Drosophila melanogaster: one gene and its partners. The protein of the gene in region 1 interacts with the protein of each later gene in a pairwise test. Each region holds a gene or a part of one and is shown in the gene's direction. Other genes may lie near its edges.

What was found.
Region 2: the proteins of Su(var)3-7 (region 1) and CG12935 interact in a two-hybrid assay, tested with the Drosophila melanogaster proteins (one large-scale study listed by BioGRID).
Region 3: the proteins of Su(var)3-7 (region 1) and Nipsnap interact in a two-hybrid assay, tested with the Drosophila melanogaster proteins (one large-scale study listed by BioGRID).

What each region holds. Positions count from the first base shown.
Region 1 is NT_033777.3:13,262,267-13,270,363, forward strand, and holds Su(var)3-7 (suppressor of variegation 3-7), read left to right. Parts: upstream 1-2,097; 5' UTR 2,098-2,249; coding exon 2,250-3,034; intron 3,035-3,468; coding exon 3,469-4,053; intron 4,054-4,121; coding exon 4,122-4,466; intron 4,467-4,521; coding exon 4,522-5,499; intron 5,500-5,566; coding exon 5,567-6,626; 3' UTR 6,627-7,053; coding exon of another isoform or gene 7,054-7,563; 3' UTR 7,564-7,772; downstream 7,773-8,097. Other genes in the region: ravus, read right to left, coding at 593-1,640, 1,701-1,732; TBC1D5 (TBC1 domain family member 5), read right to left, coding at 7,054-7,563, 7,812-8,097. UniProt on the Drosophila melanogaster protein: Dose-limiting factor in position-effect variegation, the inactivation in some cells of a gene translocated next to heterochromatin. It could play a role in chromosome condensation.
Region 2 is NT_033778.4:10,807,422-10,811,159, forward strand, and holds CG12935 (uncharacterized protein), read left to right. Parts: upstream 1-1,975; 5' UTR 1,976-2,367; coding exon 2,368-2,770; intron 2,771-2,829; coding exon 2,830-3,122; 3' UTR 3,123-3,195; downstream 3,196-3,738. Other genes in the region: Nop10 ribonucleoprotein, read right to left, coding at 3,196-3,336, 3,402-3,455; mms4 (methyl methanesulfonate sensitivity 4), read left to right, coding at 3,704-3,738.
Region 3 is NC_004354.4:16,069,759-16,075,164, reverse strand, and holds Nipsnap (nipsnap), read left to right. Parts: upstream 1-1,596; 5' UTR 1,597-1,655; exon of another isoform or gene 1,656-1,733; 5' UTR 1,734-1,762; intron 1,763-1,882; exon of another isoform or gene 1,883-2,064; 5' UTR 2,065-2,082; coding exon 2,083-2,138; intron 2,139-3,264; coding exon 3,265-3,444; intron 3,445-3,633; coding exon 3,634-3,927; intron 3,928-3,987; coding exon 3,988-4,130; intron 4,131-4,296; coding exon 4,297-4,445; 3' UTR 4,446-4,800; downstream 4,801-5,406.

The sequences.
Region 1 (8,097 bases):
TCAATCTGATATTACATGTTGTTTGTTCGTTACAGTTGATAAATTCGCCTGATGGAGTGATTTTTACTATCTTTACCTACAGAACATACATTAAACTATCATGCGATAAACTTTTTATCACATGGTATTGTACATGCGTAATATTTACCCTTCAGAGAATTCGCTTTGTATCATTCACAATAAGTAAATCACAATTGTTACCCACACACAAGAAGTGGTTTCCATTGATTACAGCTCTTCCGTGATATCATTCTCTGAGAAAATTCACAATTTATACTTTGCTGGCAAACCAAGGTCAGGAAAACACTTTTTGAAATGCAGTTAGTGAAATATTAAAGCGAACCTAATACCTTAATGAGCCCATTTATTGGGCACTTAAATTTCTAAACGGATGAAATGTAATGAAGCCATTTCATAGAACAAAAACACCATCAGATAGATTTAAAGAATAAATGCACGCCACACTACAACAACTAATAAATAACTTTATTAATGAAAATCAGTTAACAAAATTAAAAAATGAAAGCACTAGCATATATTCTAATTGCCGTATTGAGCACGGTTTGGAACCGATTCCAAAGTCCAGGTGAATTTATTTGGTGGTAGAAGCCACTGTCGCATTCTGCTGACCACTGCCTGAGGCTTCAGCTGCTCCAGACCTGGAGTTTCCCGCGAGATCCGGAAGTCCGGCGACCTCAGAGAGCGCCTCCTGTTCGCAAAGAGCACGCAACTCGAGCTCCCCAATGAGCTGCATTACCCGGATCTTACCCTCGGTGGCCAGTTTGGGCGGCAAGTTCTTGACGGTGGCACATATGCTGTCGAAGAACAGCTCCAATGAGTCGCGCGGTGGCGTTATAGGTGACAATGGTTGCAGTTGATAAGATTGCAGCGGGCGGGCAGCATAGGAGGGCGTCGTGTGTATAGGCGTTATGGTGGCCTTGGAATTGATCTCCTGAGCTTGGCACATCCCACTGAGTGGAGTACTGTGCACTGGAACTTTTTTAATGGTGATCCTGCATGGCGGAGCTACTGTTGCTGTTGCTGAGGATGTGGGATAGGCGGAGACAGTGGTCGGAAGACTTTGAGGCCCCTCGTTGATGGTCACGTGTAGTGGCAGATAATCCAGCATGCCAGAATTCTGTGAGTCGGTCTCCGAAGTGCGGCGCTGCTGCTTAATGACGGGCTCCGTTTCGAGATCATTTTGTGCTTCCAGTTCTTGAGTCCGCTTCTCATCGTCCTCGCAGTCGCCCTCTGTTTCGTCAAGTTCTCCCTCCTCCTCATCTTCTGTCTCGTCGTCTTGGGGATCTGTTCCGTATTGTAGTAGACCCTCCTCGTCCTCGGTATCCTCCCACTTCATCGCACCGGAGCTGGATCCATTGAAGCTCGAATTGTTTGCCTTGGCTGGCAATGATTTTCTTTGTGCATTTTCCGAGTGCTTAATGCTACCCTCGTGCTTTCCCAGATCAGATCTCTTGCAGCTGAGCCTGCACTCGCACACCGCGCAGAACACGAAGTGCGGATCCGTCTCATCCGGGAGCAACCACGGATATATCGCCTGGTACTCCGGCTTTGTCTTGGGTCGAGGATATTTCAGCAGGGCGCACGGCCGGCGTGGCCTGTATTCGGAGCGTAGGGCATCTCTGGGCGGCGAATATAGTCAGTGAACATAAGACCCTGGTCTCTTACTTTGGTATACTCACAGTTTTTCCTGAGTTAACTGGAGGTTTGACATTTGGGTAGTCTTTTCCAAAATATAAACAAAATCCAGTGAGGTATGACCGTGCGCACATGCATAGAAATACCGCATAACCCGTTTTGCACATGCTGTAAGAGTTGTCACCCACACCGGTTGTTTGTTTCTACACACTTTATTTTAAATATTCAACGATATATGAATCATATGCTAATGCATGTAATTTCTTTATATGCTTTCTAAGCATAATGTTCATGTAGTTATTAAATAAATAATTGCAGTTATACTATGAACAGTACGTTTTAAGACCGTTCTCAATAAAGTGACCAGTCCAGTCCCTCAGTTGCATTTTATGTATTTTTTGAACTTCCTTAGTATATGGTCCTTAGCCCGCCGGTTTAATGCAACAGTACGGTCACATTGGCCATCGCCTTGACAGCGATTCTGAGTTTTCGCTTGCGATTATTTTTATTTTTTTAGTTTATAACCGTATACTGTGATCTCCCAAAAGCTAACAAATATTAGAGCAAAGTGCCTGGATAACCAGTATCTCGTGATGGATCGGGATTCGAGCATGCAGGCGAAAAACCTAGATGCTCAATGCAACCCAGACCTCAAAATGGCGTCTGCAAATTCAGAAACTTTAGCGTCGGCAACGCACGAGCTGAAAATTATGGACGTAGAGGGTGGTGCTCTGGTGGATCCGGATCACATCGAGGAAGTGGAGACCTCCATGGTCATCGTGGTGGATGATGACGATGGGGATGTGGCCATGGTGGTGGAGGAGGACAAGCACCCGATGCGGGATGACCCGTGTATTGAGGACATCATGGATGACGAACATGCTCCATTGGTGGCCGAGCTACAGTCCGCTCTAAATAACCCAGACGACAAACAGGCCAGCGAGGATCCCCTCCTGGAAGACCAGGAACGTGAACCCGATGCCATGTCCACTAAAACTGAACCCTCCAGCGATGCGGAGAGCTCCCATTCGTACCACGATCCCATGGGCCTGCTGGAGAGGATTGAAATCCATGATCCGGGAGACAGCCAGGATGACGACGACGAGGATGACGAAAGCAGCAATGGCGGTGGCGTTGACGGAGGCATGCGCCGCAAGATGCCCCGCGCACAGCGCTGGCTCCTCTGGATGAAGCGTTGGCCCTGGATCCTACACGAGGACTCCGATGGCACCTTAGCGTTCTGCCTTTACTGCAACATATCCATTAACGTGAACAACCGCTCTAGACACATCCAACAGCACAACGTGTCGCTCTCCCACCAGGAACGCGAGTGCAACTATCTGGCATTCAAGAAAAGTGAGGAGGAAACTCGAGGAGCGTAAGTGTCACAGTTTTAAAGATTACAAAAAAGAGTACAGAAATCTAAAATTCGGAGAAATCAAGTTAATTAATCCGCCGTATAAAGTAAAAGCTCAACTCTTCAAATGCCTTTCACTTTGTAAAGGGTTTGTACCGAAATCCAGAAAGCCCACTGTAGTGTGAAAAAAACTGCCAACTTAATGAAGGGAGCACTGCTCCGAGTCCGCATTAATTTTCCAACGTGTAGCAATTGTTTGACACAAAGAAACTGGTGTATGATAGGCTTGGTCGCGGTTCAGAATAGATTTTACATATATTACACTCCCTGCTTTCAATGAGGGTAGCTCTACTCGTAATGTTAGTAAGATTTGCACCTTTAAAAAACGAAATACCGAAATCATATTGAGATCACCGAAAGTTTGCGAACACTTATTAACTCCCAATTATCCGTAGAATCAGCGACAACGAAATCAAGCACGAATTCGGCACCAAGAGCTATGTGGCCGCCATGAAGCAAAAACGAATCTCCGAGACCGAGGCATTTAACAACTTCAACTGGCTGCGTTGGCTCCGTTGGCATCCTTGGCTTGAACGTTCCATGCCCACAGGGACCATCGGGACATGTCGCATCTGCAGCGTGCGAATGAACGTGGAGTTTGTCTATTTGCGCAAGCGCCACGAAACCACCAAAGGTCACATGGAGGCACTGCGCAACCTAGATTCCGATAAGCGGAGTCGGAAGCGAAAGAGGAGCAAGAGCAACAGCGTGACCAATAGCGGCGGGGATGAGGCCGAGCGAGAGAAGGAATCTGAACCAGAAGTTGGGCCGGAGGATGCTCAGGACACCCCTGTGGTTATGATGAACGGCGATGTGGACTCAGGCGACGACCCTGGCAAGTGGTGTGCACTGATTCCGGACACCAATCCACAGCAATGCCGATGTACGCTCTGCAACTGCACAATGGCGATTACCAGCTTCCTACGGCACTGTAAAACCAGAGCTCATTGTCACATGCTATCGACACCCGCTGAAAAGGGGTGAGTTGACACTCCTACAGAACGTAAATAGCACCTGTTCTTTAACTGCTTTCACTTTTTTACCTCAGCTCTTCAGATATTCGCGGCATTTGGGCCGTGTTCGCCGACATGCATCCTTGGTTGATTGCTGATCCCGAAGACCCCAGCATTGGGTACTGCAGCGTCTGTCGCAAGCGATTCATGTATGGAAACTCAGAGATCAAGCGCAAGAATCACGAAAAATCCGAGAAGCATACCTTGGCTTTGGCCAGCGCCAAGGCAGGCATCGAAGTTGGTTCGGCTGACGGCAGAGGCGGCGATAACATGGATGAAGAGGAAGCGGCGGCAAGTGATCAAGCCCAGTCATCGCAGACCGATGACAGCGAAGATAATGACGATGACAATTGGTCCGAGATCCAAAAACTCGGAAAAGGGTATGTTGCTTAAAATATTTTTAATTTTTACTTTAATAATAATAATTTCGTATAGTTTTGCTCATAAGTCCTCTAGCGAGCCAAGAAAGGCCACGGTTCGCGCTGGGGTACGTTTTTACCCGTGGCTTTGCTACTCCAAGGACCGAAAGACTCAGATTTGCAAATTCTGCCGCGTGCGCTTTCACAACGAAGCGGCAAAGGCGCGGCATGAGTTGAGTGCCCGGCATGTAAAGCTGGTAAAGCAGTTCAAAATGCGGCAAGCGAAACTGCACCAGGGCACAAACACGCAAACTAAACATAATGCGCAGGATGATGAAGAATCACAGGAACAGGACGAGGAATATGGAGAAGAAGAGGAGGACGCAGAAGAAGATTCCCAAAGCAACTTCGACTTGGGCACCGTGCAGGCAAGAAAGACTGCTCGAGCGGACAATAAGCTTTTTGTCAAGCCCATTCCGGCAACCATGAAGGGCAAGGTTATGGTGTGGAAGGGCCGCTTCCCGTGGCTCTCCTACAAAAAGAACGAGCAGCGTGGAAACTATGCTTGGTGCAAGCTGTGCGAAGTGTCTCTCTACCTGCCCTCATCCAAGTGGGCCTCCAAGCACCAGAGGACTTCCCGACACATACGCCTCCGCATTGATCGAAAGCGCAATGGTGGCAACCCTTTGAAAACATCGAACAAAAACTCAGGTGAAATATCCACTGTTGTGGCCACAGCTTCGGCTTTGGCCAGCGCCGAGGCTAGACAGAAAGCGGCTATGGCAGAGCTGCAAGCGAAGTACGACTGGCTGGATCCTGATGCCAATGACGAGAATCACTGTCACTGCCGTGTTTGTGATAGCCGGCTGCCGATCAAGGTATTTTACCTGCGGCAACACGACGCTTCGCGTAAGCACGTCGAAAATAAGGAGCGGCAAAGGGCCAATGCCGCCGCTGCCGCCAATGCACCATCAGTTAGTCCCACTTCCACCGTTGATGCGGAAAGGCAGGAGTCTGGAATGGACAAGGAGAGCGAAAACGATATGAGCGTTCGGTGAGTTTAGAATTCGAAATCCCTTCATTAAGCGTTTCTAATAACCACACTCATTATGGCTACTTAGATCCGATGGCAGCACAGCGGAACCGCTGGCGAAGCGGTCCCGACGCTCAATGGAGGTTCGTCGCATAATACGCGCCCTTCGCGACTCAATGGGCAAGCGACAGGAAGAACGCTCCCAAATGGACATGGCCAGGGACATGATATGCTCGTCGTTTGATATTGTTACACGCTTGCGAACTTTGGAACGGGAGTCGGTCGCACATAACGAGTCTATGGCCCAGGCGCCGCCATCGGTGACAGTGTCACCGATTAAGCCACCGGAGCCACGACATGTAATGGATCTCTTCTTTGACAGCATTTCGCCGACCATGAAGTCCCTGCCGCCGGATTTAGCCGCAGAGGGCAAGTCGAAAATCATGCAGCTCGTTTGTAGCTTGGAGCTTCGAGCCATGCAGAGAAATGCGACAACTCCAACCCCAGCTACAGTTTCTGCTTCCTCGAAATGGCCTTCTTCAACTACGGTGACCCCAGTTAAAACTCCTCCTGCTCCTATTTCAGCTCCCCTTGCTTCTGTCGATGCAGATTTGCATTCCTCGGTTGTCACAACACCGCATGAATACAATAATGGGCAGAACAATAATAACGACAAGGAAACCGTACCGAAAGAGCCAGTTACCGGGGCTTCCTCTGCCCAAGTGACCATCAATGGGAGCGCCAAAGACCTGCCAGAGAATATACGCCGTATCTTAACTTCCAACCAAACGCAAGTGACCAACCGCCTCGAGACGGATTCCGTGCGTTGTGTACCTCTTGACAAACTAACAACACAGAGTCGGACCAACGTGAACGGACGACTCAGTCAAGGTGGCACTTCGGAAGCACCATCCACCCCACAGGCGGACCTTAGCAATGGTAACACGTTGGCCATGATCAGGCAGATACGGGTTAACAATAACAACAGTTCCAAGATCACCGTTACTAATACGCCTCAGATGCAACAGCCGCAGCAGGCACAGGCAAGCATAACGTCCTCGACTCCAATAATGCGTGGTGGTCCCAGCAGCAACGGTTGTCAAATCACAACATTTCGGACAATGGTGAACCATAACCGCAGGCCATAGAGCTCCTAGGAAATATGAATCAAACGTAACTTAAGACTTTATCACTGTCATTATTTAAATTCGACTCAATCAGATATACTTTACGTTAATGATGAATACTTGCAAGCAATTGTTCAAAATTTAGAATACACAAACGATGGAGCTTCTTCCAAGATATCACATAGAACACTACTCCTTCAACGAACTACGAACCTGTTGCTTCCGAAACTTGCATGTTTTGAAGACGATTTGTTTCGAAACCATTCCAATACCCGAAAAATTTTTATTTTTCATGGAGAAAATTACAAACTATGGACTTATTCAAGTCCAAAATATAGTAAACTTTATGTCTTTTAATTATAATCCTTACTAATTCCGGTTTATCCACTTTGTGGCTGCTCTGTTTAAGTCTAAATTCAGTTTCAGTCGTTAGGAGTGGACCTTACGATCAACTCGATTCGTTTCGATGCCGTTGCTGAGGCTCCGCAGCTGGCAATCCGTTTTGCACCACCGCGTTTCCAGGTTTCTCATCGCTCGTTATCGTGGACAGCTCGATTTCACGCAGTTCCCCGAGGAGCCGTCGCATCGAGCTGTGCATAAAGGCGTTCTCAGGCATCTGATAGCCACCAGTCGCAGAGAGAGCAGCCGGTGCGTTAGCGGGAGTGGAGGAAGCCGTTGGCTTTGGCGGTTTGCTGACAGTGTTTAGCTGCTTCTGCTCGTTGGCCTCCAGAGCCTGGTCGATGGGCGCCGATCGCTGGTGCAGCGGGAACATGAATTTAACGTCCAGAAAGCTGCATAGCTCTTCAATCCCGTCCAGTGTCCGACCGAGTTCTTCGCTACCATTCGCCTGCTTTCCCACATGATGGCGCACAGTGCTCAGGTAGCTCTGCAACTTGCTTCGCGCTATCTTGATTACAGTTTGGGCATTCTTCAGCTCCAATCGGAGTAGCTCTGGACTCTGCAAGGGCCAATACAAATATTTCTTAGGAACAGGTCTTTGTAATAAAATCATGAAAGTAAATGTTACGTTATAAATTTTAAAGTATTTAAGAATTGACTCACTAAAACCCTACTTAGAAAATATGTACAAAAGATTGGCTTAGATTTAAGTAGTTTTGTTTTGTTATAATTAAATATAATTTAATAAACGGTTAAATATGGTAACAGAAACACGTATACGACATTCATATATTAAAGCACACTCACATTCTCCAAGTATCCATCCATTGCAACTCGATGGGTATCTTGCAATTTGGCCAGAGCAGAAGAATCCGCCGCATTGCGCTCCTGCATGAAGGTGATCTGCCGATCGATCTGGCTACCACTAGTGGCCATCGAAGAGTTTTCTGAATTGGTGCGCGGGCGTTGTCCCGCAGGAGGGGGCACATCCTTGTCCGCGGAACTGTTGGCAAAGGACACACACGTGAAGGCGTTTGGCGGATACTCAAACTGCTTGGGATTGAGCATGAATAGGGCATGTCTCAGCACCAGA
Region 2 (3,738 bases), on another chromosome or scaffold:
GAGCGGCCGGAGAGTAATTGCAAGAGAGAGCAAGAGGCCAAATTTATATATGCACGTGGCTATATATATTTGCCTGTATGTAGGAATTGAATAAAGTTCGCGTAGCGCCAAACACAGCACGACAAAGATACAGCAGCAAGCCGAAAGCAACAACTACAACACCGGGCAAACAAAAATAGAGGCGTAAAGTCGTTGTTTTTGTAGATGAAATGCTAAAACCTTCGATATCAGCTCTATTAAAGAAATTGATCCTAGAAGCTAGTGACATTGGATCATTAAATTTCGACTTGCTCTGATGGCAATACTTTTTTCAAGATGCTTAGGTCCATTAAAACCGTTGCTTATACACACAAATGTAGATAACAAACATGTTTAGGTGTCGTATTTTTGCAACTTAAAGTATATATGGCCAATTTATCGTCTTTAAAGTTCGGTCTTGTATTTAAGCCAATTTTGGGCTATATGTCTATTATAGCTGTCCCGCTCTAACACGCGCACACACACCAGTTAAGTTCGTTGTAGCAACGGCACATCGGTGTGAGCGTGTATGTATATCAGAACGTGTATTTGTGCGATTTTGCAACGCATTTACATTCTTTTTAGGTTACGTATCGATTTTGATGCAGAGTGAGGTTAGATCGAAAAACATCCAAGTTTTTGCATGCTTTACGAAAGCAAGGACATTTTTGAAATCCCCTCGGCGCCCTCTGCATGTTTCTGGTATCAGACGTTCGATAAAGACTAAACCCCGAAAAACCTAAAACGAGCAGGTTGCAAGCAGAAGCAAAAGCAAAACGGGCGGCGTTTTTATTCACCTATTGTACAATTTTATGTTTTTAGGGTTGCCAGGTATGCATTATGTTTATCATGAATATAATATAAAACCTCGATGTGTCCGATTAGACGCAAATCAAATGTCTTTAAATGTATAATTGAGACCATGATGTCGCGCAGGGTTGCCACCGGCAGGTCATTTTTTGTCCTATTGCAATGGCATTGCGGTATATAGTCTTGCCTACACGTCGGTAGTCTAGTCTAAAATATAGCATAGTAACAAATCCAGATATATATCAGATTTCGCCTGATTTGCAAATCGCGGTCACTTGACAACCCTGAAAACACAAATGTCTTTAAAGAGACTCGTACCATATCTGGCGTATGGTACCCGTACCCAGTCCAAATAAAAAAAAACTTCAAAACCCAGTAAAAAAAATGCAAATCCCAAATGTACCATTCGATTGGACCATTATATTACAGGGTATTTTTATAAAGAAAATTATAAATATAACATAAAATGGATAAAAAAAACTACACTTACCTTTCTACGACACGACAAACTCGTTTATTAACTTATATATTACCGAAAACTATTGAAATATGACTTGTGGTCTAACGGCAACTATCAAATGTCAATGATTTGAATGAATTTAACAGCTTCTCCGTGATTTGTTTACAATTCGCAGGCAACTCCACTTCCGATGCCCTTAAACGACGAAGACTGAAACACAGACTAAAATCGCACAACAACAGAAGGTGCCGAAAAGAACCAGTCTATGCACAACTGGTTCCGAAGAGCAGCGCCCAGATTGCAAGCTAGCGGCACTTGGAATAGAGATTGGCGCGTGATTCCGGATGCCGATTTCTGATACGCATCGAGAAGACATTTTTTATGGACGTTTCTAACAATACTTATTATTTTTGTATTTATTTAGGTTGGATTTTGGCAAAACTTATTTTATCTTATATTCAACTTTGCATTTTTACGCAATTTGTATTATTATTATTATTATTATTATTAACATGATGACCAGATATAACTTAAACTGGTTACCTTCTCATTACGATAGTAATATTATAAAAGGATGTATATTTAATAGCTGAGGAGAAGCAGCATTTCTATAGTATTTATATACAAAAATAAAAAACGTTATGCAGTTCATGCACGTGTACATCCCTAGTTTGGAACCAAACAAAATCATATGTTGTTACTAGGGCTGTATAGCTAAACGTTTTATTTATGGGAGCAGAACTATTAAGTGCCAGTTGGAACTAAGACGTGATCTCCCCTGTCCCTTCTTTTGCTTAAAACTGAATCATATTGACAAATGTTTTCGGCCCGTTTAAGTAATGTGACGTTCTCATGAAATACAACGGTGAACATTGCAAAAATCGTGTTATTTTCGTTAATTGTTCCAATGGGTGAACTAGTGAACGGAGTCAGCATGTGCCAGCCCTGATGGCTGCTTTGTTGAACTAGTTCCAGTTCCGGAGCTAGTGAACCAATAGCAAACGGAACAAAACAAAAACATCTGTAGATTATAGGTTAATTTGTTTTATAATAACAAATGCGGGAATTATTCAATTAAGATGAGCAATCTGCTGAATTTTGCCCTGCGGCAGGGCGTCAACTCCATCAAGCGCCTTAGCCTCCAGAGTTTCAGACTGGCAGCTCCGGCCATTGTAACAAAAACGCCGGTTACTTCCACGATAAAGAGATTCTCCTCCCAAGCCGCCCCCTTCGATGTGAACACCAGTGTCCCCAAGGACATAATACTTTTCAAGTATGAAAACCCCCGATTCTACCAGATGCTTAACTTTTTCGGGGTGTGTCAGTTTGTTTTCTGGACATATCTCTCGCACTTCGCCTTCACGACGCTTAAGGATGCTCCAGTGGTGGAAAAACCCGGAGAGGAGCTGAAGTGGTTCCAGCGCATAAATCTGGGCGATAATAAGTACAGAAATGGCATTACAGCCTGTAGCTTTCTGATAGGTAAGAGTGGTTTACTACGTTCTCGGCAAGCCGAAAATAAAACTCAACCAACATTTTAGGATATGGCATACTGTTTGCTGTCTGGATGTTTACCCTGCGATCGGTGCGTTTTCTTATCTTGAGAAAGGGTGGTCAGAGCGTTTCCTTTGTGACCTACGGTCCCTTCAACCGGAATCGCATTATGACCGTGCCATTAAAGTGCGTCTCCGCCGAGGAATCACGGAACATGGCCAGGGTGCAGCTACCCATTAAGGTGAAGGGCAAGACACTGTATTACGTCCTGGATATGCGTGGCGAGTTTCGGAATGGCGAGTTATTCGATTACACGGCGGGCCTCAAGCGTCGCATTTAAAGGGCAAGTTTTGTTGTTTTGTAGCTTATTATTTGTAAATAAAGATGTACACTAATTAAAACTAAAATGCGGCTTAGTAAATGGGCTCCGGCTTCTGGGTGAGCAGCAGTCCAAAGCGCTTCTTGATGGTCAGCCTCTGGCGGGAGTACTTATCCTCCGGTGAAAAACGTGCTGGATGAGCAGATAGTGTGGGACGACCATCCTCGGTGCGTTTCTAGAAGAGCAACAAGTGGTGACTTAGTTGGGTAATATATATATAGGGTTTTGATAATAATATACCTTCAGGGTGTAAACGCGATCGCCGTTTTCGTTAATTGTGTACATCAGATACATTTTTGCAGTTTTTGGATTGTTTTTCTGTAGTCAAAGAAGCAGAAAATAAAACACGTGTGGCGTGCGTTGCAAGGTGCTACCAGGCTTTAAAAAAAAATAAGCACTAAATAATCCAACTTAAGAGAATAGTCAAGCCTCGAACCGTGGAATAAATGTTAGCTAGATTTTCGTAGCTAGATCGCTTGTTATCGATTCACTTCCATCTCTAAGCATATTTGTATAGAATATTTGGCGGACTTTTGTACACAATGTCAAATAAAGTGGACAAGCTGCACAAGCAGGC
Region 3 (5,406 bases), on another chromosome or scaffold:
ATATAAAATGTATGTACTATGTATAGTAACAAATATAACTTCCATATGAGTATTTTTCGTATTACCTTTAGTAGAATAAAGATTATCGTATAATTAAAACGCATTGTTTATAAAAAAAAAACAGTGATCTGCTTCGATCACCGACTTAAACAATTGGATATTGTTAACAAAAAGCAAAAAAAAAAAAAATGCAAAAAAAGAGTTTGATGTTTTCTCCGCACTGTTGCATACTTATTCAGTATTCTGAGAACAGATGTCCTTTTACAAGATTAGTACTCACGGCAAAATAAAAGCTCAAAAACGGTACCTACGGGTACGTACCAAGGTAAATTAGTTGAGTACTTTTTACCTTACCTATGTAAATAAATAAATTAATACATTTTACCCTTCCTAGGCACGGATTTTGATTTTCACCGCGTACTCGTCGTGATTTTAAATTATTGAAATCGTTTCTAGATTTGGATTACTTTTTTATCCCCGTTTACGTATACGTAATATATTTAGATTTCAGGAATCGTAAATTAACAGGTATGAATTGAAATAAAAATAACTTTTACTTACCACCGCTTTATGATTATGTACACTTTTTAGCTTCTTGCTCAAATAAATTATTTAATTATATTTCCTTCCTTTGGCCGATATATTGAGAAATGCTATTTTTAATTTCACTTTTAACTCAGGTATGTATTAATGTACGCCCGAGTGTATAAAAACACAAAATGTAACCGTTTTAATCACCGGCGAAGGTAGAAAACGAAATGGAATTTAAAGCAAACGGGCGGAGAAGTAAAGCAGAACAAAAATGTTCGTTTTCGCCATTTTCTTTTTTTGGTCCACTTTTCAGGTGTATTTCATTTTGAAATTTATAGCAATACATTTTATATATATATTCGCAAAAAGTATTAAGCATACAAAAGTGGTTGTCGGGTTTTAATAAATAAGCAAGCATTATAAATATGAACTCTATATAACCGCGCTCAAATTTAAAACACAAATCAAACCGATATGCTCACTTACGCACACACACATATGTATGTACTTCTCCGCGGAAACGTGTGTGCGTGAACTATATAACCGCGCTCAAATTTAAAAAGCAGATCAAGCCGAGCTGCTTACTTACACACACACACATAAGTATGTACATATGTACTTCTCGGCACAAACGCGTGTGCGTGTAAATCACATAATTAAATCGTTTAAAGAAAAGTAATGAGTTAAAATGCGTTTAGCAGTGTGCGATCACTCATTGATTATCATTTTAACAAACTTTCAGTACTTTTTAATACCGAAAAACATTAAAACTGATTTAATTCATTTTGGCACGCCGAACCGCCATTTTTTCTATTACCGATGCTCGCGAAGGAAGAAAACGAACTGAACGAGGATAGGAGCTTTCAGATCGGACTTGAGCATGAGAGCGGCCAAGAAGAAGAGTGGTCCTAGATTAACAAAATGACCCATTTTCGCTTTAAAAACTATGAATTTCAAAGTCAGCTTTTAAACAAATTTGAAATGTAACGTAATTAATTCAGAGTGACCGCAAAAAACTAAAACACCTTATCGCTATAGCATGCAATCGAAAAGACGACTACTTTGTTAACTCTTAGGTCCATATCGATAGCCAAGCGCATGGACGCGATATATCGATACAATCGGTCAGTGGTTAAGACAGCTCTACTGCATATTATTTTGTTTTCTTTTAACGTTAACATTTCATTTAAATATTATTTTAGTTTGTAACACTCCCGCAAATAACTATAAAGTGAGTGCTAGTGTGGAAAGAGAAACATTTATTATTTTTCCAAAATAATTGCTGAATTTAAAGCGGGTGGGGAAATCGGACAGAGTTGAAACGAGAGAACGCTCTACATTCTCTATTATCAATGCTACCATAGACCATGTACCGGCGCACTTGTTAAAATGACTCTGACTTCACCTTGACTAAAGTACACATAATGTACACACATTGCAGTGGTAGAGATGGCGAATCGGGATGATAACAGTTACTGATTTTATTTTCCAGTTTTCACCCCATATCGCTCTATATACATATATACTCGCCAGATCCTACATAAATCGAAAATGCTTAAGCTACGTAATCTATTGGCCGTCGGCAAAAGCAACAACAACGCTGTCCGGTAAGAAAAACAACATGAATATACTATAAAAAATGAACACAAAAATTGCCCACAGCTGAGTCCATTTACATATTTGATCAGTGTTGCCGAGTAGGCACAGGTACCTGTACCTGGATATCAGCTTGTGGCACTTATTAATTGCCCAGATTCGTGGAATCCAAATGAAATATAGGCAATGAATATATACTCGTATATTCAAATTTTTTAGATTGAAATAACAAAATTAATTCTTAATTCTTACTTATTTATATATAAATAACAGTATTTATAAGGATCTTAAAATAATGATATTTAATGGTATTCATATTCAATTTTCCTCCAGCCTAGGGGTTCATTTTTATTAACATTATGTTTTTCAACTACTAGTCATTTTAAGTCTTTTAGATTAAATATATTATTCACGAATTCCCTAAACTCATGTTATTAAATTTACGCAGAGTAGTTGTTGCTTACTCATTTTCCAAGCCGTCATACTTAGCATTAAGAGTACCTACCAGGTACCGTCCTTGTAGGTACACAAATCGCGTACCCTTTCCAGCACTAGCATTCACACTCCTACACGTTAATATGTATGTTTGGTTCCAATTTCGTACGTATACATCCATACATAAATGAAAATGCCGTTGCGACGTCAGCAAAGCAAAAACGTATACAAAAACAAAATAAACACGACGGTGCGAATTTTAGTTACCCTTCATGTATGAAATGCCGTACTATATATGCATTTTGTATTTTTAAGTTATGAATACATTTGCCCCTGGAAAATTCGAAAAAGTTAATAATACGCAGGGGTAGCTTTTCTTAATTTGTAAGTTCAGTGTAAAGGAAATAGCGTTCTCCTTATTTATCTATTTTTTGCCCACGGTCCAATTCAATTGGCCTACTTATAGCTAATATTGATAAGTGGCCTTCCAAAAATTGAATATTATATCTTCGATCTGAAAGATAGACTTATTAAAAACGTTATCTAGAGAGTTTGGACTTAGAACATATCATTTAAAAATGTATTTTTAGGTATTACCAATATATCTTACCTTATACAGAATACAATTAAGATATTGTAAGTTTATTTTGTAATTGTTTATTATGCCAACCTTTTTAAATTACCCATTATTGATACTTTTAGCTCTCTGTCCACCACTCCGAGCCGCAACGATTCAGAATCATGGTTCTCAAAACTGCTCGTTCGGAAAATAGAACCAACCAAGGAGTCGCACAGTCGAATGCTCAGCGATAAGGAAATCATATATGCCCTTCATACCCACAACGTCAGGCCCGATTCCATGGGCAGCTACTTAAATAACTAGTAAGTGACTGAAATTTAACGTCCTTAAAAGGTGCCTAAAAGAACTAAATAGGTGCAGAGTACTCAAAGCTAAAGAATAAACATTGAAAGCGTTGTCCATTTTCGATAGCATACTTTCAAACACATTTCCGGGTGGTTTTAAATCCCGAAAGTAGCATAGATTGTTAAAAGTACCCTTACCTTTTACAGCAAAACTACTGTCGCTTTGATCAACGAGAAGAAGGCAAACCTTTCCTGCGAATTGGTGGCATCATGGACGGTTCAAGTGGGCGACATGGATCAGTGCCTGCACCTGTGGAAGTACACAGGAGGCTTCGAGAAGATAGATCAGGCCAAAGAAGACCTTTGGAACGATCCCGAGTATCTTAGCTTGATGCAGGAGCGTTCCAAGTTCTTGCGCTCCCGTCATCTGCAATATCTCTTGGCATTCAGCTACTGGCCGCAAATTGCCAGTCGTACCGGCAAGAACATTTACGAAATGCGGTATGTTGCAGAGTATTTTCAATTCAAAAATGCATAGCTAAATTAACCCAATTGTCTCAGCTCATACCGACTGACACCTGGCACCATGATTGAGTGGGGAAACAACTGGGCCCGCGCCATCAACTATCGCAAGCACAACAACGAAGCATTCGCCGGATTCTTCTCGCAGATCGGAAGACTGTACAATGTTCATCACATTTGGTGTAAGTGATAGATAGTATAATTAAAAGATTTGAGTAATTTGAGTTTCATTGCCAAATACGTTTAGAATGGTTTAAAGGATATTTTAAGCCACTAGCAATTTTTGAAGCCATATTTTTATATAAGCTGTAAAGCAAACATTAATATTTGCTCTTCTTTTCAAAATAGGTTACAAATCTCTGCAAGACCGTAAGGAGACCCGGGAAGCAGCCTGGCGATCCCCCGGATGGGATGAGTGTGTGGCCTACACGGTGCCATTAATCCGCGAGATGCACTGCCGTGTCCTGGCGCCCACTGAGTTCTCGCCCTCACAATAATTAGCACTGGGTGTTGCACTTTCTAGCGTTCTGAGAAATTGAAGTTCATCGACGATTGGACAAATTAGCTGTGAAAACACCGAGAACGCATCTTCGCCTATTTTCCTGTTGAATAGTTATTGTAAATAATGCCAGCTACATATGCAATCATTTAATTTTTTTTTTAAGTATAATTAAGGTCAAAGTGGAAATTTCTATCCAACATTTTTACGAACCTCTATGTGTGTATCGCCTACGACCTTTGAATTTAACAAAACCAATTTTGTTTTTATAAAATAAAGCAATTATGAAACTGTTATAAGTTAGTTTTTAAAACAGATCCCAAAATATAGTAAATGGTATTGGATATTAATTGAAACATCTCTAATAAAATGCAGAACCACCCAATTCCGTAATTACAAACAGCAAAATAATAGGTGATGAAAAAGTAGTATACCGCATAAAGTTTTAATCAGATCGTTGTTTTCTTGAAAAAACTTGTTATCCTGTGAATTAGTGGTATAACATAATAATAACGTATGATACATTTGATTTGCCTGCTTAGTTGCTCAAACTTAATTAATGCACATATTCTATGAACTTTTAAAAGTCACAGAAAATTAAACGAAATATTTTGCTATCCCCGCCAGTTTCTTAACTCTTTAAGAGGCATCATATAACATGTGTGCGATATTTCAACATCATCACTAAATTAACTAGAAAAAAAGTTCGAGAAACTTTTTTTTTTAAACCATTGGGTTTTTGGCTCTTAGGAATCTGGAATTGTTATTATGTCATCTTTTTGCCTAATTAATTCAATTCTAAACAAATTTTTAAGAATATTTGTCCAAACAAATTTAAAGTCTTATACACCGTAGGCACTATAACAAAAATATGTAATGAAATCACCTTCTGATTCTCAACTTTAAAACTAAAACCGTTGTTTAGAACCAGCCAATCTCGTTTATACCTAATATTATTG